2 linked regions of the Lytechinus pictus genome follow. The protein of the gene in region 2 interacts with the protein of the main gene of each other region in a pairwise test. Links are inferred from orthologs where the notes say so. Each region holds a gene or a part of one and is shown on either strand. Other genes may lie near its edges.

What was found.
Region 1: the proteins of protein unc-13 homolog B-like (region 2) and syntaxin-like interact in a two-hybrid assay, tested with the Caenorhabditis elegans proteins (2 studies listed by BioGRID). The link is inferred for Lytechinus pictus from reciprocal best matches to the Caenorhabditis elegans genes unc-13 and unc-64.

The regions. Positions count from the first base shown.
Region 1 is NC_087246.1:4,061,585-4,075,094, reverse strand, and holds the start of syntaxin-like, read left to right. Parts: upstream 1-8,005; 5' UTR 8,006-8,035; coding exon 8,036-8,084; intron 8,085-13,510. UniProt on the Caenorhabditis elegans protein: Plays a critical role in several secretory processes, including cuticle secretion and neurotransmitter release, and probably assists in neuronal membrane maturation or the final stages of neuronal differentiation.
Region 2 is NC_087249.1:28,652,752-28,665,298, forward strand, and holds the start of protein unc-13 homolog B-like, read right to left. Parts: upstream 5,070-12,547; coding exon 4,817-5,069; intron 1-4,816.

The sequences.
Region 1 (13,510 bases), on a different chromosome or scaffold from region 2:
TAGTCACTTGATAGATAGGGGCCCAACCCTCCTGCTTGTAATAAGAGTCACATCTTCATTAGATAGTCACTTGATTGGTAGGGCCCCAACCCTCCTGCTTGTAATGGGAGTCACATCTTCATTAGATAGTCACTTGTTAGATAGGGGCCCAACCCTCCTGCTTGTAATAAGAGTCACATCTTCATTAGATAGTCACTTGATAGATAGGGCCCCCAACCCTCCTGCTTGTAATGGGAGTCACATCTTCATTAGATAGTCACTTCATAGATAGGGGCCCAACCCTCCTGCTTGTAATAAGAGTCACATCTTCATTAGATAGTCACTTGATAGGTAGGGCCCCAACCCTCCTGCTTGTAATAAGAGTCACATCTTCATTAGATAGTCACTTGATAGATAGGGCCCCCAACCCTCCTGCTTGTAATGGGAGTCACATCTTCATTAGATAGTCACTTGATAGATAGTGCCCGTAACCCTCCTGCTTGTGATGGGAGTCACATCTTCATTAGATAGTCACTTGATAGATAAGGCCCCAACCCTCCTGCTTGTGATGGGAGTCACATCTTCATTAGATAGTCACTTGATAGATAGTGCCCATAACCCTCCTGCTTGTGATGGGAGTCACATCTTCATTAGATAGTCACTTGATAGATAGGGCCCCCAACCCTCCTGCTTGTAATGGGAGTCACATCTTCATTAGTAGGGTGTCTGGAGAAAAAAATTATTTTTCTTATTTCAAGAAAATATCACATTTTCTTTGTGAATTTGAAGAGAAATGACCTTCAGACTGACAGAAATGTAACATTAAAAAAAAAATCAAATTATTGGCTGCAAAAAAGAAGAATGAAATTAGGTCAATTTTCAGCATTTCTCTGCCATAGACTGTGTAGTTAAGAAATGGACACACACAAATCCAAATTTTTAGCTTCCGAGAGCTGTTATAAATTTGTTATTAATGCCAAAAACTTTTCCATAAAGAGTCAAATATGATTTTTCATGCTCTTTCTGATGGTATGATTTTTATAAAGATTTGGAAACCAGATCACAATGAAAAATTGCGACAAAGTGAAAAAAATTGTGCAAAACAGAAATGTTATTTTCCCATAGAAAACGCATGGGGAAATGGCAATCTCAACACACACACAAATAAGGGTTTGCAATTTATCTCTAAATCCTTATTTCAAATAATCCTATAAACTTGTCCTTACTGTCAAAAGAAGCCCCTGAACTTTCTCTTTCCATACATGCCATATACAAGTTAATAATCAATTCAGATCACATTTTTCTAGCAGCCTGAATTTCCCCCAAAAATGTGCCATATTTTCCCTAAAATCAGCCTGTTTTATGCTGACACTTTTCAGTGTGGCTTCAGACACCCTATCATTAGATAGTCACTTGATAGATAGGGCCCCCAACCCTCCTGCTTGTGAAAGGAGTCACATCTCCATGGATAGTCACTTGATAGATAGGGCCCCCATCCCTCCTGCTTGTGATGGGAGTCACATCTTCATGGATAGTCACTTGATAGATAGGGGCCCCAACCCTCCTGCTTGTGATGGGAGTCACATCTTCATTAGATATTCACTTGATAGGTAGGGTCCCAACCCTCCTGCTTGTAATAAGAGTCACATCTTCGTTAGAAGGTCACTTGATAGGTAGGGTCCCAACCCTCCTGCTTGTAATAAGAGTCACATCTTCACTAGATAGCCACTTGATAGATAGGGTCCCAACCCTCCTGCTTGTAATAAGAGTCACATCTTCATTAGATAGTCACTTGATAGATAGTGCCCGTAACCCTCCTGCCTGTGATGGGAGTCACATCTTCATTAGATAGTCACTTGATAGAAAGGGTCCCCAACCCTCCTGCTTGTAATAAGAGTCACATCTTCATTAGATAGTCACTTGATAGATAGTGCCCGTAACCCTCCTGCCTGTGATGGGAGTCACATCTTCATTAGATAGTCACTTGATAGAAAGGCACTTTTTCTTCTCATTCCTCTTTAAAAATGTTAATAGGTAGTTGTTACCAGCTTTATATAATACTCCTTTTCTCAGAAGATACATGTACTTGTTACACTTCTGAATCAGTAAAGAAAAACTGAAAAAATTGATCGATAAAATAGAATAAAATAAATAAATGATTAAATAAATTAATAAATCAAATAAAAACAAATACATGAATCAATGATTAAATAAAATACATTAATATATAGGTAAATCCATTAATTTTTTAATATATGAATGAACAAATAGGATTTAAATGATGATACAAATACCGGTATATTTATTAATGAATAATTTCAGCAGCTTATCTCCAAGGCTGTGCACATAAGGGATGTTTCAATGTATTCATTGTAAAATCTGAATATATTGCCGGTCAGTATTCTTTCTCCATATACCTGTATCGTGCTGCATAAAGGTTAGAGGAAATAAATGTTTACCCCAGGAAGATTGAGCTAATGTTTTAAAGTCTAGATCATCCATTCTCTCATGATTACCTCATCATTAACATGTATGATTAACTCATAAACCTCGTACACTCATAGGCGCATGATATTGGGCTCATTGCAAATTGGTAGCCTACCATAAAAGTGTTTGATACAAAAGTGAAAAGCAATCTTCGACATGTCCTAAATTTCCATAGGGGAAAGGTTGATGTGATTACATGCAGCTATTTAGTGTAGTAATGTTTATTCTATTATCCAATATTTTGACATACACCTATACTTGTACTTATTTCAATTATTTGTGACATGAATTTGCTTTGTTTCGATGTGCAATAAATTTTCAAAGATGGATGAGGCAAAGTACAAGTGCAAAATTAGCCAGTTAATGTCACAGTGAAATGGCAAAATATGAAAATGAGTTACTGAACTGGAAAATGAATAATTATTTGAAAATAATTTGTTGTTACAAAGTATTGCCATCATTTGTCTACAAATGAGTATGAAGTGAATAAGAGTGCAGTCTGGCATAGAGGCTAAAGGTAGATTGTTTGTGCAGGTCTTTATTACTCCATCAAACCCATCCAATGTGCAGTGCTCCGCTATCAAATGTCACGAGTCTGTATCAATAAAATCCATGATTCTATATTACACCAAATATTGCTCAATGAATCGTTCACATATGTGCGCCAATATTGTCTGATGGAGCGTTCACTTATGTGTTTTGATATTGCTCTTATACTAGCGTTCACATGTGTGTGCACAGATACTTCTCTGTTGTATACATGTGTGCTGGTATTTGTAATGACAGCATTCTACTAGCGTATCATACAATGTTTGTAAACCTTACATGTACATGCTGTAGCGTATGAGGCGCCGAATGTACCAATATTATATAGAACAATTATTTGTTATATAATCATTATTTATTAAATAATAACTATTATTTATATATAATTTACATTTTATTTGTAAATAACTACTATTATATAAAATATCATTTCTAATTATTTATATATAATTCCAAGTAATACTTCATTATTTGTAAATAATAATAGTTCGACATTCCATTATTTATAAATAATGATTATTTGTTTTTCATTATTTATAAATAATGATTATTTGTTTTTCATTATTTATAAATAATGATTATTTGTTTTTCATTATTTATAAATAATGATTATTTGTTTTTCATTATTTATAAATAATGATTATTTGTTTTTCATTATTTATAAAATAATGATTATTTGTTTTTCATTATTTACAAATAATGATTATTTGTTTTTCATTATTTATAAATAATGATTATTTGTTTTTCATTATTTATAAATAATTTGTTGAGTTTTCCATTATTTATAAATAATGATTATTTGTTAAATAATGAAAACGTCTACTTCATTATTTATAAATAATTTTTTCGAGTGCACCATTATTCTCATTATTTATAAATAATCATTATTTAATGTTCGAGTTTTCCATTATTTATAAATAATCATTATTTATATACAAATAACCATTATTTATTAAATAATGCCATTATTTATTAAATAATGCCATTATTTATTAAATAATGGAAAACTCGCTATAACATGCAAATGTGGGACCGCCCATGATATGAATATTCATGATGCGATTTCCTTTTTCGTGATTTTTCTTCACAAATTTTTGTCCATTTCCTCTTCATAATGACATTTCTTGAAGCAATTTTCTAGGGATATGGTCTGATTGTAATATTCTTCATTTTCTATATAACTTCGTCTTCGTAGAAATATCAAAAAGTGTAATTTTATACGATTTTTCCTACAGTTCACAATCCCCATAGGCGCGCGTGTACGGTAGGGACAACCGGTGAATCGACGGAGTGCTCTTCATCGAAATACTACGTTGGTTGGTCCCCGGAAGTGGCGGGCGGAATTTAGCCCGAATCCTCGATGGAAGTCGATCAAGTGCATATGAGCTGAGAGAGTGAAATATCAGTGTACTTGTACAGGCCCTTCTACTTTTTATAAATATTTCTTGTTGCTTTTTTTGTTAAGTTAATTTTTCCTGGTGTAGAAATAAGTTTCAGTTCTAATAATGCACTTCAAATACATTTTGGAGTGTCTGTTTGAGGCGTTTGGGGCGATTTCACCCTGGCCCCAAAATGCTCGCAACGACAATACGGGGGCATGATGACCCCTAATTTTTTAAAAACTTATTTTTCTATTGAAAATTATCACAAAATTCACCAAAAGTGTGCACGAAAGCCTTCGTATTTCACTTTTAAAACTCCAAAAAGTGCCCAAATGACAAGCTTGGTCGCTTCGCTGTGTCGCTTTCAACTTGAGAACGTTTACGCGTCTGCTTCCCCCCCCCCCCCCCCCCCTCCTCCGAAAGAAATTCTGTGAACAGCCATGCTCTAAAGAGCCTGGCACATTGATTTATGTATACTTCATTTTCATTATTTTTATCTCATTATCATCATGGCCTTACGCAGAATTTTTTCCGGGGGGGGGTGGGGGGAGCAGGACGCGCGTAAACTTTCTCATAAAAATCTTGAGAAAGCGAAGCGACCAAGCTTGTCATTTGAGCTTGGTCGCGTCGCTGTCTCGCTTTCAAGATTTTTTGAGAAACTTTACGCGCGTCCTAGCTGCCCCCCCCCCCCCCCCCCCGGTAAAAATTCTGTGTAAGGCCATGATGATAATGTGATAAAAATAATGAAAATGAAAAGTACATATAAATCAATGTGCCATATGCTCTTTTGAGCATGGCTGTTCACAGAATTTCTTTCGGGGGGTGGGGGCAGACGCGTGTAAACGTTCTCAAGTTGAAAGCGAGACAGCGAAGCGACAAAGCTTGTCATTTGGGCTTGGTCCCGTGGCTGTCTCGCTTTCAAGATTTTTTTGAGAAAGTTTACGCGCGTCATGCTCCGGCCCCGGCCCCCCTGGAAAAAATTCTGCGTAAGGCCATGTTGATAATGAGATAAAAATAATGAAAATGAAAGTATACATAAATCAATGTGCCAGGCTCTTTAGAGCATGGCCGTATACAGAATTTCTTTCGGAGGAGGGGGGGGGGGGGGAGCAGACGCGTAAACGTTCTCAAGTTGAAAGCGACACAGCGAAGCGACCAAGCTTGTCATTTGGGCACTTTTCGGAGTTTTAAAAGTGAAATACGAAGGCTTTCGTGCACACTTTTGGTGAATTTTGTGATAATTTTCAATAGAAAAATAAGTTTTTAAAAATTAAGGGGTCATCATGCCCCCGTATTGTCGTTGCGAGCATTTTGGGGCCAGGGTGAAATCGCCCCAAACGCCTCAAACAGACACTCCAAAATGTATTTGAAGTGCATTATTAGAACTGAAACTTATTTCTACACCAGGAAAAATTAACTTAACAAAAAAAGCAACAAGAAATATTTATAAAAAGTAGAAGGGCCTGTACAAGTACACTGATATTTCACTCTCTCAGCTCATATGCACTTGATCGACTTCCATCGAGGATTCGGGCTAAATTCCGCCCGCCACTTCCGGGGACCAACCAACGTAGTATTTCGATGAAGAGCACTCCGTCGATTCACCGGTTGTCCCTACCGTACACGCGCGCCTATGGGGATTGTGAACTGTAGGAAAAATCGTATAAAATTACACTTTTTGATATTTCTACGAAGACGAAGTTATATAGAAAATGAAGAATATTACAATCAGACCATATCCCTAGAAAATTGCTTCAAGAAATGTCATTATGAAGAGGAAATGGACAAAAATTTGTGAAGAAAAATCACGAAAAAGGAAATCGCATCATGAATATTCATATCATGGGCGGTCCCACATTTGCATGTTATAGCGAGTTTTCCATTATTTAATAAATAATGGCATTATTTAATAAATAATGGCATTATTTAATAAATAATGGTTATTTGTATATAAATAATGATTATTTATAAATAATGGAAAACTCGAACATTAAATAATGATTATTTATAAATAATGAGAATAATGGTGCACTCGAAAAAATTATTTATAAATAATGAAGTAGACGTTTTCATTATTTAACAAATAATCATTATTTATAAATAATGGAAAACTCAACAAATTATTTATAAATAATGAAAAACAAATAATCATTATTTATAAATAATGAAAAACAAATAATCATTATTTGTAAATAATGAAAAACAAATAATCATTATTTATAAATAATGAAAAACAAATAATCATTATTTATAAATAATGAAAAACAAATAATCATTATTTATAAATAATGAAAAACAAATAATCATTATTTATAAATAATGAAAAACAAATAATCATTATTTACAAATAATGAAAAACAAATAATCATTATTTATAAATAATGGAATGTCGAACTATTATTATTTACAAATAATGAAGTATTACTTGGAATTATATATAAATAATTAGAAATGATATTTTATATAATAGTAGTTATTTACAAATAAAATGTAAATTATATATAAATAATAGTTATTATTTAATAAATAATGATTATATAACAAATAATTGTTCTATATAATATTGGTACATTCGGCGCCTCATAGTAGCATTCATACAGTAAAGGTACCTGATAAACATTCCTTGAAATAATTTGTTCTATTGCATTCGGTACATTGTTGGATGAACTGATTACATATTACCAGCAAACCATAGGCCCTCATAATCAAGGAAGGAAACTTCACATTAGTACAGAAATAAATTACAAGTATGAACAGTACATCCATAGGACCTGTAGTTTTCTACATTCGGTTGCCAAAACAAAACAGAAAGTACATATACATGTAGTCTCTGATTAAGAGATGGACTTTCTGAACAGGTTCTGACTCAACCTTTGATATATACAGTATATAATATGTGCAGGCCCTATGGTTAAATTTTTTTTTAAGTACACAAGTGTTCCCTTCACAGATGATTTATCTAGTGTAATTGAAACTTTTTCCAATTTTACTCTGTGTGAATTGGTATTATGATATCTACTGCTGATGTGAAACTAGTATGTACAAATTAAGAGATGGTGTATTTTTTGTAAAACATATATGTAATGATATAGCCTTTGAAACAAGAAATCAGTATTAATTGAAAGCAAGTGTTTTGTTTGTAGTCTTTTTTTTTTGGGGGGGGTGGATTGATAGTTGTATTTGTAATAAAAAGAAATTCTTACAAATTTTCACAATTTGTGGATGAGCTGTAAAAGAAGATTAGCAGTAGGTTGCATCTTCCCCTCCGCCTTTCCCTTTTCCCTCTCTTTAAAGGAGATAATTTGTCATTGTTCTGGTGTTGTTTAGTCGTACATGTAATCAACATTACCACCACCACCAATATGAAACTGATCATTATCATAATCACCACCACTACCATTACCACAATGCTCACCATCACTACGACCATCATCACTTTTTATCATCATTGAAATCATCATCATCATTTATCAAATCACCTACACCACCATAATTTTTCCTCCTCATCACTCCACCCCCTTCCTCTATTTCTTAGTGCCCTCATCCCAGAAAAAAACTTCACAACTTAGAGGCATATTTAATTATTTTTTTCCTTATTTTATTTTCCATTTGCAGAAGTCAAAGATGAATTGGAGGAGTTGATGAGTGACATCAAGAAAACAGCAAACAAAGTCAGAGCAAAATTAAAGAGTAAGTAAACATCACTAACCTTTTCATGAACTCTCATGTTCTAACATCGGTCATCCCTTTCATCGTAACGTATTTCAAATGAAGAAACCATTTACTGTCTCTTTGTGTGTAATGCAAAAACAAGGAGATTGTTTTTACAATTTCAATAGTTACGTGTGTAACTTACCATGAACTGGAATTTGAAAGACATTCAATAGTACTGACAATGAAATCAAATGTTATTTAATACAAAAAGAGCTTTTATTTTTAGTAGTGGGAGAGGTGGCACTTAACTGCTCTGTCAGCTAGAATGAAAGTTACTCCATTCACTGTATCGATATTATATTATAAATTACAGACACGGGCAACATTTTTTAAAGCGAAATTGGTGTAGAAATATAAAATATATACTCGAGTCTTGAACTTACATTCAGGTCCCGTGCAATCCACTCACGTGAACAACTAATGGGATTTCCATTCCTATGAATATGTATGAAATCCATATTTATGTTTACTTTTTCTGATGAAAGCTACTTCCTGCATACATTATTAGAGTGATGCATGGAATGTTACTTTTTTCATGTGAAATTTGAATTACAATTTTAGGATATTTACTTTCACAGGGTGGTTGCTATTGGTCATTATGTGTTAGGGTTATCTGTCCTTCCCTTTTCCATTCTCTTGCTGACCAAACAATTGTTTTACATGTAAGTATAGGAGGGATGAAGTATGAAGATCTGATTAGTTAGGGGTATCAATATTAAAGGTCACTATACATGTATTTGGCAATATGTGTGTACAATGTAGAGTGAGGATTATTAGATTTTGGCATCACTAGTTCAGAAGACAAAGGTCACAGCACCACCTCCTCGAAAGAATATGTGCTGTGACAGATTGAAAAAAATTGGGGTCCATCACTTCTGTTTTTGTTGTTAATGTTTTATCTTTATTAGGCATATAATAGCCCCTACATCTTTTTTTTTCATGCATGCAGCAGGGAATACCTGCTACAGCTCCTCACATATATTTGTAAGAGACATACAGTACATGTATGCATCCAGATACATAGAGATTAAGGTTCAGTCAGTTGTAAGTGCCCTCTGCTCACAATATTCCATTTTTGGTCAGGGGTTAGGGGGTCCAATGTTCTGATAAATGGTGCAATTGAGAATTAAAAAAATCATCACAAATAAGCATCTGAAAATACACTGTTTGGTAGTTTTTCATGCATTGTTTTATATAGGAAACGTATTTCATCATATAATTATTGTCAGGTTCTTCTGGTCAAGTGCATAAACTTTTAAACTTTTTTGTTATTTCATTCTAATATGCTTTAATCTTTTACAAAACAATTGTCCACTATTGATGCATATCACTACCTGACAAGGTCTAGTTTTTAATCCGACAATAAGAATGAAACCCAAGAGAGTTTTCTAAACCTAAGATGTCCCTATCATTGGTGATGATGATGACACTTCCTAAACCCATAAGACAGAGCATGGCAAGCTATTGCTTCATGTAAATTTATGTGTGACTTTGTGTGTCCTGAAAACTCTGTGAACTCGGTAGTGGCTGGGTAATACAAGTAGTGCCTTGGTAATAAAGCAGCATTTTGAATAGAGGAGGATGGGAAGGGCGGGAGGGTATAGGTGAAAAATGCTCTAAACTGCATAATACATGTACATAGGTCTTTTACACAAAGAGTTTGCGGATTGCGATAATGACCCCCCCCCCCCCCCAAGACTATTCAGATCTTACCATATTTTTGAGAGTTTGAAAAATTAATATCACAATTCATTTCAAGAGTTGATGAATTGCGAACAATAAGTCTTCAAAAAGCAATCATTTAATGGAAGAAATACAGATACACCTGTATGTAAAATGGTATGTGAATAATAATAAATAATTGTATTAAAAGTAAACTTACTTTTCCATGATGTGATTCCAAGCATGAAATGATAATTCTGCTTTTATATAGCACACATTTCATCTAAAATCTGTGATGATGTGTATCTAATTGCTGCTTTACAAATAATGTTTGTAACTTTTAATTAATACACACTTGCTTCATACATGTTTTGCAAAGACATAGATAGATTTGCAATTATGTAGTCCCTCATGATTGTAAAATCCAACAACTTTATTTAAAAAAAAGCATGATACATGTAGGTAGTCATTTTAATAGAACATAAAGTAATAAATGGCATATATTCTAAATAAATCAACTGTCAAATCAATTCAAATCTCTTTTATATTTCAAGTAACTAAGATTAATAATAATTTTTCTCACAAAGCGAAATACGTACTATGAAAAATAAACATCAACATGCTTTTTTTATAATGAACAGTTGGTCAAATGTGCAGGTTCATCTGTTTACGAGTATTCCAAACTAGTGCCAAACATACCTTGTTCTGTGGAGAATAAGGTTTTTATTGTCTCACCTGCATAGCAGAGTGAGACTATAGGCGCCGCTTTTCCGACGGCGGCGGCGACGGCGACGGCGTCAACACCAAATCTTAACCTGAGGTTAAGTTTTTGAAATGACAGCATAACTTAGAAAGTATATGGACCTAGTTCATGAAACTTGGCCATAAGGTTAATCAAGTATTACTGAACATCCTGCCTGAGTTTCATGTCACATGACCAAGGTCAAAGGTCATTTAGGGTCAATGAACTTAGACCATGTTGGGGGAATCAACATCAAAATCTTAACCTAAGGTTAAGTTTTTGAAATGTCATCATAACTTAGAAAATATATGGACCTAGTTCATGAAACTTATACATAAGGTTAATCAAGTATCACTGAACATCCTGCATGAGTTTCACATCACATGACCAAGGTCAAAGGTCATTTAGGGTCAATGAACTTTGGCCGAATTGGGGGTATCTGTTGAATTACCATCATAACTTTGAAAGTTTATGGATCTGATTCATGAAACTTGGACATAATAGTAATCAAGTATTACTGAACATCCTGTGCAAGTTTCAGGTCACATGATCAAGGTCAAAGGTCATTTAGGGTCAATGAACTTTGGCCAAATTGGGGTATTTGTTGAATTACAGCCATAAATTTGAAAGTGTGTTGGTCTAGTTCATAAAACTTGGACATAATAGTAATCAAGTATCACTGAACATCCTGTGCGAGTTTCAGGTCACATGATCAAGGTCAAAGGTCATGTAAGGTCAAAGAACGTTGGCCACGTTGGGGGTATTTGTTGAATTGCCATCATATCTCTATAAGTGTATTGGTCTAGTTCATAAAACGTGGAAATAAGAGTAACCAAGTATCACTGAACATCTTGTGCGAGTTATAGTAGTTTTCAAAATCAGCACTGCTGCTATATTGAATCGCGTGATGCAGGTGAGACGGCCAGAGGCATTCCACTTGTTTTAAAAAAGGGACCAAAAATAACAACAGGAATATTTATAAATAGTATAAATAGATGGTACAACTGTACATGTAATTGATCATAGGGATTTGCTTTCTCAATTTTAAATTTGGGATACTAAAAACAAAACTGGTTTGTAAGGCAAAATATTGCTTATATTCTAACAAAGAAGAGTTTTTACACATTGTCTTGTGCAGAATATTCTATATGTAACGGTGAAAATGTATATGGGCTAATGTATGTGCATAATATTTGCAAATAAGTTTAAAATAAGTTTCATAAGAGTCATGGTGTTCATTACAAAATGTAGTTTAGAAGGATCCTAAATTTGGAAAATAGCCCCTATACTGAAAATCTTTTAATTTTTTCACTGGCCCCCATAAGACCTTTATTGAAAAGATGGGGACATGTTTGCTTTACATATACCCATGCATGCATTGTGATGTAGTCTGGATGAGAGCTTCTTCATCTCAATGCCACGGCACTGACACCATCCCAGTTGCCTCCATCTCCATCATAATGTCAAAACCAGCGACCTATCCTCCACGAGTAGTCTCTACCATTTCATACTGTAATTCAAAACTCTCTCTTCATCATTTCCCAAACCCAATCAATACCGCTTCTCTCACATTTAAGGATCAATAATCGGGCTTGATTCGTGGCCAAAACGGGAGAAACTGCGTGTACTTGCATTGAGCATTGAGCATTTTTCAATCTTATTTAGACCCGGCGTCCTGTAGGATGGAGTGAGTTTTGAGATACAATTACATTGAGTGAGCCATGATTGAAATGAACACAAGGGGATGTGCATATGTAGACTATCCGTATACATTATAAATACAGCCTTTTGCAAATTTGATAAGGAATTTTATGCCAAGCCAATTTAGTTGGCATAGGCATGTCCTATGCATGACTCGTAGGCATCGTTATGAAGAATATTTGGGGCCTTGATATATCATCAATGCTAGAGGAAAAAATATATTGGAGTAATCTACTTTTCATGGATAATATTAAGATGGCATTTCAATCAGAAAGAATGAGTTTTATAAGAGAGTTTATTGAATTCCTGTGATGTAGTGTATATGGGAAGCAAAATACAAATCTGGTTCATGATTTTCACTCTGTATATTCTGTGAATTATAATAGTATTTTAGCTCTGAATAACCTAAATAACTTGCTGCTTTTTACATACATTCAACCTATACTAATTTTACAAGTACTTAGGCCTATAGGCTCTAGTATTGACAATGGCATTGGTAATTTACTGTGTGTAGCAATTCTTTTCATTCGTTTCAATTTATTTTGGAATTCTATAGCATTTTTTCAATGTTTTGTTATAAACTTATGTCTGCACATTGTTTAAAACAAGTTTTTAATCATTTTTTGTATTGAAAACGAATAATGATCAGTTGTTTAATTTTTCTGTTGAGATTATAATGCTTCAATACTCTAATGTATTTTTAGTCGAATAACTTCCATTCTTGACCTTGCTGCGCATTAATCTCTTTATCCTACTATATTTGTTACCCATGAACTTGGAAATTGTACACAATTTTACAGCTTTTCTTTGTGTCTGTATGTATGTATATATATATATATATGAGTTTTCTTAAATTCACTGAATATTAATATTGAAAATAATGATAATGAACATAACTTGTATAATGCTCTATTGTCAGACATGTTAGCATTCTGACAATTTCTGTTATGTTTTTCTTTTACTGCTTTACTTGTCAGTGTTATTTATTGAATTTCTTTAGAAACTCAAAGCCTTACTGTTATTGTAATTATATATTTTATTCGAGAATTCCATCATTTCTTCCACTCAAATGTCATGCTAGAGGGTCATGTGGTTTCTGACTGCTATGAATCAGACTTCCATAGTATCATTAAAATCAGCTTTAGAAAAATAATACATCACAATCTGTTTAAATATATCTATCCTTCACATTTTCTTTCATACACCAAAACCACTATAAACTTATTTCATCTGTCAAAAATGTTTATTTATCATTACGCTCACCTTATTTGATATTACAAGAAGCTTAAAATAAAGC
Region 2 (12,547 bases):
GGCCTTTGGGCACTGAAAGGACTACCCCATTTTTAAATAAACGTGAATGAATGAATGATTAAAAAACAGACCTGATAAACTTCTATTCAATTGTATCTATACATGTAGGTATACTTTGTTAGAGTGCAAAAGTTGAAATTTCTTACAATTGTATTAAAAAAGTCAGTAACTCACTATGCAAGGTTAACAACTTATATGCATATCAATTACTGAAGACTTAAACTACGACAAAATCATATACTCCCAACAGAATTCTAAGTAAAATTACATTATAATTTAAGTTTAGCTCAAATTGTACTGTACATACTCCAATCATTACTTATTCCCACCAGCTCTCAAATATTATCAAATCAATTAATCAATACACTAATAGACCATTCCACATTGAAAATAAATTAAGTTCTTGATGTGCGCATGTTGAATTTCATCACAAACAGTAGATGTTATAATACTGATATTGCAATAAAATTTCATGAGCTTTGCGTGACTTGCAATGTAATCTACATACAAAATAGATTTACATAGAGATTACAACAATATTTGTAATGCTTTACGTGGGATATGAACACCTGGTACGTACATGATCCTCATTCAAACCAACAACCCACGGAAAAAGAACACCCGAGTACGTACAGGGCAAAATAGGATATGGTATTTGCAGAAAACACAATTTTTTTGAGAGAGAATGTCGAGTCACACATTTTACCCCCCAATGCAATTATTGATATGCGATCCCGTGTTTATACATCATCCGTCATCTAATATTGGATTGAACTCTCTCTGATATAAGAATGGAGCGCATGGTAGTGACGTCATAAGTGCCTACATAAACACAACTCATTGCCAAAGTAATGCAATGACGGACACTCGCCTTTCCCCTGTTTCAACCTTGTATCTCTTGTCTTTTCTCATTTGATGTTCATTTATTTACCATTTGCCTTGCTAATGTATACACATTCTTTAACATTATGCAGGTATCTTCTTCATTTTTATTCAATCCATTGCAGTTGATAAGGTGCTGCTAGTCTAAGGTTGAATATGATATGATAAATCATTATATTTCACCAAAACATGTACTCAAAATTCTGGATTTTGATCTTATCTTTGTAAGTGCATGGACCTACTAGAAAAGTGTAAGGTAGGCCTACACTTCTCATACAACGTCTTCACTAGAAAGTGTCCCTCATATATTCTTGATAACAACACAGATACATGTATATTGTAAAAATAATCTCAATAGATTATCTTCATTCTTAATTTCCAAAAAAATCAATTTATATTTTTTTATTGTTCAGAAAGTAAGTGATTATGTGTGAATCCCCCCTCATTTTTCTTTCACAGGTAGCTTTATTTATTTATTTAAGCTTTATGCATTATTTTTTGGATTTGGAGCAAAGTAGGCCTATTACTCAGTGGCTAAGTCTATTAAAAGAGGTTTTTTTAAAGCCCCTGGAGAGAAGTTCAGATTAAAAAAACAAAAAACCCTATCTTGTATTCATAAAGCTAAAGTAATCCAATAACCTACATTTTTATTTGATCTGTTAGCATTTGTTAGCATTTGTTAATGGGTTCCTATGGCAACAGCTTTGTTTGTGTATTCTTTACATATATTTGTTCAAGTCTCAGGTGATTATAACAGGTATTTATACTACATATTGTCTATTTTGGGGCTTCTCCTAAAAATGTAAAATAATAAAGTTTTTTCTTTATCATATTCATGAAAAAAGACACCTCTAAAGTCTCATTTAAAAAAGAAGTGAGATGAACTCTAATTGCTTCACATATATACTATCCCTTTGCAAGATTGCAATTTAAAGAGAGTAGAATTTTGCAATGAATGCTAACAAGATAAGTGTATGAATGAGGCTGTATTTCTTAAGGCGACCGCACACCTTACGACTGGTCTGCGACCCGATTTTGGAACAAATCGCATTTTGCTCATTTTCTGAAGATGTGAATGGAACATATCATTTTATTTGAGGTTAAAATTAATTGAAATAATAATATTATAACAATTTTGAAAGATTGCAAGTCCTTATTTTGGTGTAAAGTCCAAATTAGTTTCAAATCGTAGCCAATCGTACGACTGCTATGACGTCATTACGACTAGATATTAAATTTGCTTTTATTCTAAGAAGGATGATAGCATAGTCACGAATTTGATCATAGGTATTCGTACGATGATTTAGAACATTACACAATAAGATATTCCAAGTCTCAATATTAGCATCAAATTCTATTACATTTTATTCTGAAATCGGGTCACTGACCAGTCATAAGGTGTGCGGTCGCCTTTAAGGAGTACATAAAAACATCTCAATAGGATAATCATGATATAATGGAAAGTAAATCTCAAGCCCAGAATTAATGCTCCAATAAGCAACATCTTGATAACCTGTCAAATCATATCCTCTACTTGAAATAACTATGTTAAAAAACCATTTCCATTTATGAATAATATATCGTAATTACATTGAGAACAGGCCTTAAGGACAGAACAGAGAATCATGGTGGTTACTAAGTCATTTTGTAACAACCAAAGTATTCAGCAGTTTTCACTCAACTATGCAAATAAAGTTTTAGAATGAAGAATGACATAAAGTCACATGACAAATGATATTTAAGATCTTCCTAAAAATAAGAAAAAAATACATCTCTGAGGATTGACTTTATAAAATAACTCCATTCAAATGAACAGAGTAAAATTGTGTATTTTGTACTAATTTTTGAGTGATCTTGGGAATGTTTCTTTCTTATATCACTCCAAACTGAGTGAAAATACATATATTCTAAATTCACATTTACTTTAGATATTTTTTTTAATAAATTCACTCCTGAGAAGAATGAATATTTTCACTCATATTTTTGTATTTATTTCTTCATTATTTAAAATGTAAAATGTATCTTTATATTTTCATTTTTCTTGTTTTATTGCGGGGAGGAGTCTTTGGTTTAATTGAAGAGCGATGGATACCATAATGATGTGGTACGTCATCTATCATCTAGCACAGTACTACAATTCCAAGTTCTTGCAGTTTCGTCAAAGATTAAGATTAGGAATGAGCCATAGCATCTTCTATCATGAGACTATTTTTACTCTTGGCCCTCCAATCCTCATTATTGCTGAGCAAAAACTATCTATTACCCCCACTTCTGAGAAAAAACTACCAACTACAATTTAAGGGTAAATTTGAAAACTAATCATATACCCTTTTTACACAGGCTAAAATTTCCTTAACCCCGTACTATAGGTGGGGCTAAATGGCAATTTAGCCCCACCTATAGTACGGGGTTAAGCTTAGCCCACTTTCTTTTTACACAGCATTTTTGCAAAGTGGGCTAACCCCACCTTTAGTACGGGATTATTTGGCCCTGCAAAAAAGCAGGGTTATCCCAGCAATTGCGGTGCTAAGAGCGATAGTACGGGGTTAAGATCGCTAGTGTAAAACGAAAGTGGGCTAAGCTTAACCCCGTACTATATAGTACGGGGTTAAGGAAATTTTAGCGTGTGTAAAAAGGTACGAGTAGGTGGTTTCAAACCGCCTCGATCACAAGAATCCCCGTTAAATTACGAGAACTTTTTTAGGCTGAAAAATACCCATTAATTATTCCTGCATTCACACCGCCCTGAAACATACCCTTCGGGATAAGTTCCTGAAGTTACGAGCATGCGCAGTATGGTCTGATAAGCAGCAAGGCGCGAAATTCAAAATCACTAGCCCAGCAGCAACCCATGCACGGCGCCGCACCCAACGACACGCTGGGCTAAAAGTTCCCGTAATTTGCTTTCAGACCGCCAAAATACCCACGACCTTGGAAAAATCCCCGCGAAAGTTCTCGTAATTTCGCCAAGTACCTACTATTTATCGGGTATTTTCTTTCGGGGATATTACGCGTAGTTTGCTTTCAGACCGCCAAAATACCTGGTATTTTCTGATCGGGGTAAATTTCCCGATCAGAGAATACCTGGAACTGGCGAACTTCGAGGCGGTCTGAAACCACCTACTGAAGTACTTGTACTACGAATGATCGACAAAAACCACTAGTCCGGGGTTAGCGAGTTTCGTGTGTGAAAAGCAAGCATTCCTTATCCGGGGTTAGCGATAACAATTTGGCATGTGTGAAAAGGAAAAAAAAATAGTACGGGGTTAAGGATAGTACGGGGTTAGCGATAGTCCGGGGTTAAGAAAATCCTGTGTAAAAAGGGTAATTTAGAGCAAAGTAGACGCCTTCCTCTCTTTCTCTTGTCTCGCTCCTTGGAAGATAAGGTGCCGATTGTAACGTTATCAAGGGTACATCGTGAGCCCGCTATCTTGAGAACATATTTATTTTTCTTCCCCTTGTATGCTGTAATCCTTGTAATGGACAATGTGTAAACAATTTAAGAGAAGAAGAGGCTGCCGAGCTACGGCTTCATTCCCACAAAACGATCATTATATAAACCATCACAAACTACTGCTAAAATTTTGAGGTCTCATTACAAATGTATAAACTGTTTACCTCTTTTTTTTAAATTCAAGTCTAAATCTGTTTGGATGATATACAAGAAATGTTATAAGGTTTGAAGAACAAAATAAAGATTCTTGTCTGCTTTATCCTGTTTCCTCTCATTTCCTTCTTTACAGGTAGCAAGACAAATATAAATCATACATTCAAGCCTACATTTTAGCATATGACCTATTTCATTGTGTATTGTTTATCATGCAATTTCATATGCACTTATATTTCCAATAATACTGCATTTATTACTAATACTAAAAATATAAATGCATATGAATTTCCGCATGTGTAGTATGTGTGCATGTGGTATCATCACCTTCATCATCATCATTATCATTATCACTAATGTTATCACAATCACTGCCATCGCCATCATCAAAATCACAATAATCATTGTCTTCATCATCATCGTCATCGCTGTCATCACCATCGCAGCCGTTGTCATCGTTATCACCAAAAACATCAATGTCATTCCCATCATCTTCATTATCATTACTACCATAACCATCAACATCAATCACATCATCACTATCATCATCGTCACCATAATCAATCATACAGTTATTCATCATCACAAATTTTTCATAAAAATAATTGATGTTTAAGGGGAATTCCAAAAATAATCCTCAAAAATACATCCTGGACGACATTGCAGGAGACTCGATTTCATGATCCATGGTCAATATTGACTTATTGGCAGGAAGGTCAATTATCACAAGTATTCAGGTCATTTTAACTGAATAAACAAACCAAATTAACCACTGAAGGCTTCCCAATTTAGGTTCAATCTGACAATCATAGCTATATCCATATGAATCTGTTAGAAACACAACCAAAGGATGTGAATATAGATACTTTAAGGCCTAATCCCAACACTTTTATTTTGAACAAATATACATGTAGAAAAAACAATCAGATAATATACATTAAAAATAAAAAAGCTATGGCATTTTAAAATTTATCCCATTTTCACAAAATAGTGACGTGCACATCCTGAGCATTACGCAAATGAGAGAGCTGATGATGTAACACACTATTTTTGTTATTAGTTCATTATAATTAGGAATTTCTAGGAAACTTCAAATACGTCAATTTTCATACATTTTATGGTAAAATCAGTTCTTCACTGAATCATAATAAATCATAACAATAATTTTTATATGTTCCATGATGAATCAAACCAAATATTGTTCAGTTGGAGAAAAAATTGAAATATTTGAAAAGTCAATAATATTGTATAAGATAGAGAGTGAGCATAAGACGTGAATGATTCCCAGATCTGCATTCTTTTGAAAATAAGCAAATGTTTTCTAATGCCATGGCTTCCTGATTTGATCTCAAATTTCGATTATATTTACTGTGCTGAGATTTTCTCCAATCTTGAACTACTTGCATTTCCATTATATTGTTTCATGGCTTTCTTATTTCTGCTGAAATATTTTCAAAAAGGTAAAAAATTAATGAGTATCCTAAAAAAAATAACACTTAACCCAACGAAAGAATTGCTTACCTGGGGGTCCATCCAAGTATGCGGCTTTGACTGTTGAGAGGAAAGAAAAAAAAGGAATGTCATTAGATCTTTATTCAGCAGGAGCAAAGAACAAGGACACTTGAAACATGACAAAAAATATTTTGTTATAATTACATGATTAGCACTTCGCCAAACCAACAATGAATTTCAAGGAAGTTCATCTTTTCCATATACCAAAGAATTCCTATTTCTTTGTGCAATTATTTTGTGGATATCACTATGGTGTACTCGGGTTGATGGTAAAGGGGAAATGTGTTTATGATTATTGAAATCATTAAAAGAGTTGCCATATTTATTTTAAAAAAACAAATATATTCAAGAGGGCCTATGTCGAGTGGCATCCATCAGATATGCTTTTCACTAGGCTACCTTTCACACACATGCAACTACAGCCTTAACATATAGACTACTTGAGGGCGTCATGGTCTTGTAGTTATGGCTCTCGTGTTTCAATCTGAGGGACGTGGGTTCAATTCCAAGCCACGGTGTGTTTTCCTTCAGCAAGAAATTTATCCACATTGTGCTGCACTCAACCTAGGTGAAGTGAATGGGTACCTGGTAAGAATTTATTCCTTGAAACACAGCACGCGTAACAGCTGCTCTGCTAAAGCCAGGGTAATTATGCTACATTACTGTAGAGTGCTTAGAGACTTCTGATATATCAGGTATATAGCGCAATATGTAAGTATAATTATCATTGAATACTGAATGCTGTAGGCTTCATAAAGGGATTATCTGTAAATAAGGAGTTAAAAAAGGATCTATTGGTGAATTTTTATCCAACTGACCATAGAGATTGTCAAAATCAAATGTTGATAGATTCTCACAAATTTCTCTAATCTGGTTGATTTTGATCTGGGGAGAGGGCGGAATTGATGACCTAATTTGCAAAGCAAACTGTCAAATCGCTTCCTAATCATCCTATTGTATGGTAAATATATATTTCTATAATTTCATACCTCAAACATGGATTGGTATTTGAATTTGAAGCAAAAGATTTATGGGATTATTTTCATTTCAAATCCTATTTTTGTTTAAAAGCAACAAAAAAAGATTTACAGAAAACATTTTAGTGCAAATGTAGCCAACAATAGCAACACCACACACAGAGCTTTCAAAGACAATTGTTGCTTATATGAGGGCGTTACATACTATCAAGCATGTCGATGTTGTTATGAAAATGAAACAGCATTCCCCAGTGTACTGGAAGATTGCATATATTCCATCCTATCTCCTTTTAAGTCATTCTTCTTGTTCCCGTCATCATCGAAGCCTGGATGGATGCAAGCACGATACCTTTCATCTGAATAATTGAACACCCAATCTACACAGGGGCCACACGCAGGAAAGTCTTTTACATTATGAATGATAATGCATGTACACTGAACGGGCACACTCTGGCTAATTGCATTACTGTTCTACCTTCTCTGCCTCTCTCGGGGCATCCTACCTCAATCTACATCTCTCTATTTATCTATCATGTCTCTCTTATATATTAAAAAAATCTCTCTCATACTTCCTATTTTTTTTCTCTTCCCCCCCTCTTTCCATCTCCTTCACATTTTCTCCCCTCCTTTGATCTCTTTCCTTCTCACCAAACCTTCTCGTTTTCCCTCACACTATTTTTTCCCTCCATTTCTCTTGTTAAGAGTACTAACAGTACTCCAATATATCTTCACATTTATTTCATTTTTATTTTACATTTGGGGGGTATCTTACACATATAATTTCTTCATTTAAAAAAATAATAAAATACGACTATTAAGGTAAGTTTTGTCTGAGGGTGTGATAATAAAATGATCTTATAATATCTGATTGGAAATATAATATCAGCATGTATTCACCATTCTCTTCTTATTTACTTTATGTCTGGCCAAATAAATTCAGCCCAATTCTTTCTTTCCCTCCCCTCAGGCCCCCCCCCCCCCCCTCTCTCTCTCTCTCTCTCTCTCTCTCTGCCTGTCTTTGAGGCATACTCCTGTAAATTGCAAATCAACACAATCACAATAAAATGCTGAATCAATATCATCCTTATAACTACAAAAAGACTTATTTAAACTAACTTGCACTGCTTTTAACAGACACACCCACTTTTCCCAAGTAAAATACGCTTCATCTTGAATATCGACGATCCTTTGGGATATTTTTGACAAGTTTATCCTCATAAAGCAATCAATCACAATCATTTCCTACCCTGACTTTATTCATGCAGTAACAATAGGTGGTTTCAAACTGCCTCGATCACAAGAATCCCCGTTAAATTCTTGAGGCTAAAAAATACCTGTTAATTTACCACATTCACATCGCCCCGAAACGTACCTTTTGGGATAAGTTTCTGAAGTTATAAGCATGTGCAGTATGGTCTGATAAGCAAGCAAGGGGCAAGATTAAAAATCACCAGCTCAGCAGCCACCCACGGCGCCCGGGCACAACTAAACACTGGGTTGAAGGTTCTGGTAATTAGCTTTCGCACTGCCTAAATACCCGGGACCTTGGAAAAATCCCTGCGAAAGTTCTCGTAATTTTGGCATGTACCTACTATTTAGTATTTTCTTCTGGGGAGATTACGCGTCATTTGCTTTCACACTGCCAAAATTAACAAACTTTGAGTCGGTCTGAAACCACCTAATGACTCACAATGGCCAGGGAACAGGTTTCTCTCCTCCATCCTGATTACGAATAAATTTCATTCCCCAGATCAAGTTTGTTTTCTCTTCCTCTCTCTCACTATAAAATTGGTATGCAGGGTGTAAAATTTGATTAACGGTCATATAAAAAAATGGGTTACAAATTGGCATTCAATGCCTTGAGAACAATTCCCTATTGACCGTTTCATAACGTATGACCCTTTTCTATTCCCATGATCAGTGAGGTACAAAAAAAATCTTTTGGAGAAAAATTGGATTCATATAATGAATTGCTATCAAATTCAATGAATAAGATTAAATACAAATAAGAATAATAATATGATAAAACAAACATAAATAAATCAAGCAATTGCCCGATAAAAATTGTAATTCCTTTTAACTTAATATTTTTTTCTTATCGCAAAATTATAGGCCTTCAAATCGTCGGCGGTCATCCGAACCGTCGTATCAGTCAATTTTGGTCCCAAAAAAAAAATCGATTTTGAGATTATTGCAGAAAATTAAAGTACAAGTCCTAATCTATTCATAACTAAATTTATAGGCAGCAATTTATTTTATTTTCTGAGATATGAGAGGAATTTCACGGCGATGCCATACATTTTACAAATAAAATGCGAAAATCCCATTGGAAACATGTACTGTAACAGAGCGATACGACGTTTTGACTGACCGCGATTTCAATGCGCGCAGTCAGCCAAACTGTCGTATTGGCCATCTGCACTATATTGACTTTGCACGTGAAAAGCGATACAACATTTTGACTGACCGTGCGCATTGAAATCGCGTCAGGGTTGTTGTATTCCCTATGGCGTTTTTGCACGGGGGGAAATCTAAACCACTCAAACCAAAATTACAAGCATGTAGCTCTTTTGCGATATTTTCTCTGATCCTTGCTTTTGTGTAAAAATAAGGATACCATTGTCAAGCAATTATCTTGGTCTTTCCAACCATGTATTTTTCTCGCAACGAATGTGTTGTAAGGCTTGGGAACCAAGTGTGAAAATTATACTAAACTTTGAAGTCGATTTTCTCTGAAATGGGTTTGCACAGTCGTATGTGTGATACCACGGTTCGGAAGACCGACGAAATTTAGTATAGCAATATTATTTCAGACCGAAATCTGATGTAATTTTCTTATCACTTTCCCTGGTAATTTGAACAATACTATAGTGATAGAGTAAAAAAAAAAAAAATTATCACTTTTCAAACACCAGTGCACACATAAGAACCCCCCCCCCCCCCATCCCTTGCAATAAATTATTACACTAAAAGTGTGTACGCACTATTAAACATACTCTATTCTTATCTGTCATGATGTCTTTACTAAAATTCCTAAATAAAAAAATTCCAATAATTCATTGATTATGAAATTATCTAGCTAAAGCTATTGGTCCCGTTCTATGGTGAAGTGGTGTAGCCTGTGAATGCTGTATGTGCTTTTGAGTTGATTTTCATGATTATATCTTCTCAACCATTAACTCTGAAATGTTTTATTATGTTGATTGATTTTTATTCATTACTTAGAAATATCCCTACATTCAGGCGCATGCTTCTCGATCCAGTGCTCCTGAGCAAACTTAACTTAAAATGTTCTTAAAATAATGGTCGAATCAATAAAAAATATGTGAAATGAAAGAGGAAAAAAAACCTTTGCATAGGCCTACTGGTTTTAAATCTTAACGGCACTAACATGTCAAATAATGTTGACCTTACAAATTCACCTCCTGAATTAAGAAGTAGACGCCTGGCATTTCCGCATATTGGGAGATGACACATTACCTTGTATTTTCCTGAAGACGGAGGGGAATATGCATTTATCTTCTTGCTAGATACAAGAGTAAAACCATTAACTGTGCAGTCCCGACTTTGTTGTGTTTAATGGAAATGACCTTGTTGCAGTCCTAAGCAAATCAAATAGATTTATTTTTCTAAAAATCACTCAGGCTTATTGGTTTGATCATGATTCCATCAAGTAAGTTATATATTCATAACCCACCCCCACTGGAAAAAGAATATATACTGGCTAATTGAAAGAACTAGTTATCAATAATTTCCTGTACTGCCATCTAAACCAGATAAAGTTCCTGAAGTATGAAGTGAAGTCAGCAATAAGGCTTCCATTCCTCTACAAAGAATTCTTTTTCTTCTTCCCTCACATCTAAGTCCTCATAATTGGTTTCACTTTGCAAAATCCATCAACCTCAACTCCTCAAGACAGATTCCTGGGAAAGTTCTTGTAATTTGGGGAAGTACTAACTCCGTACTAACTACATGTAATACTTTTCTAAAGGCCCTATAAATCATTGAATATATATATATCTGGGTTTTTGTGGGGGGGTTTATTTTAGGGGTAAAATTCCTAATAAGAAAATACCATGATCAAGTGATCATAAAGGCACCATCTGGTCATGCATATCAATGTTTTAGATCCAACATCTTCCAGAAAATATTTTTATGCAGATGTACATGTAGGTGACATGTGAGCTATGTTCTATTTTAGAACTGTACTCTCCTTTAAAATGGCCTCATTCCAGCAAAAATTAAAGAGACGCTCTGGGCTAAAAATGTTTATATAAAGAAATAGAGTAAAATTCACAGAGCAAAATGCTGACAACTATGGAAAGCCAGCAAATTCAACATATATAGAATGCATGTTTGTTCAAAAAATATTTCTAGATATAAAAGTATATCCATAAATTCATTGATTTCTTGACATTTTGGTGCGTTCTCCCTTGTTTACAAAGGACATTTTTCAAATTTCCTGTAGAAAAATATTATGGCACTGATGGATATCCATAGAGTTATGATTGATTGGATCAATCGTAACTCTTTGTAAGATGGGGCCCTGATCTCAATGAGGATACCTTCACTCATCTCTCTCTTTCTCCATAAGAATTTCATAATGGTGAAGACTTGTAGGCATTTACATTCATAACTCTGAAGTACCAAGATTATAAGTTCATAATATTGAAGACTGGAACATGTAAAAGTTCAAGGATTGTAATTATGAATTTCACACCAGCGATTAACTGTGTGGATCTCTCCACACAGTGACCGTCTCCTGCAGATACTTGAATAAAAGATAAGACATCGTAATCAAGATATAAACTGTACAGGCACTGGACAATAAAATGGCTATAAATTTGGTCCATTACGAGACCGATGGACAGTAAAGTGCTTCAAAGATACACGATGAAGTGGTTAACTCACAAATATGAAGGATAGAGGAAATTAGAAATGTGTATACAACTAAAAGAAATAAAACTAAGAAAGGTCAGGAAGAAAAAGGGTATTCACATTTATAAGGTGTGAAAACAAATTTTAAAGCACTGCAGTATCTTAGTCAGCAAGCACAGCCTCATATTTGACACTTTTACCAATAACAGGTCTCGAGTGAAGACTAGACTCCAAAGACTCTGTCTGTGCCAGCCACAGTACATAGTGATCTAGTCTCACTACTTCAGACTCTGTATTATTCACTATGCAAATTGCAAACCCCAAGGATATGTGCGTGCAGACTAGCAGTATATTGTCATCCTATATACATGAACAAAAGTCTTTTAGAAATGATAAAACCTGTTGGAAGGTGAAGGTCAAGGTAAAAGTGAAGGTCAAGGTGAAGGTCAAGGTATCTGTGATGTGTTCAATCAAGTTTCTTGAACTAGAATGTCAAACAAGGAAACAAGAATCAAGTCAAAAGGCTTACACAAAACACAAATTTGAGAAAGCATTCACCCACACTATCTTTATTGCATTCTAAAGCCCACCCACCACACATTGCAGAACATGGAGTTTGACCAAGGAAGTACACCTTGTGATATATATATATGCAATGCATGCCAAAACAGTACATATTTATAGTAGAATC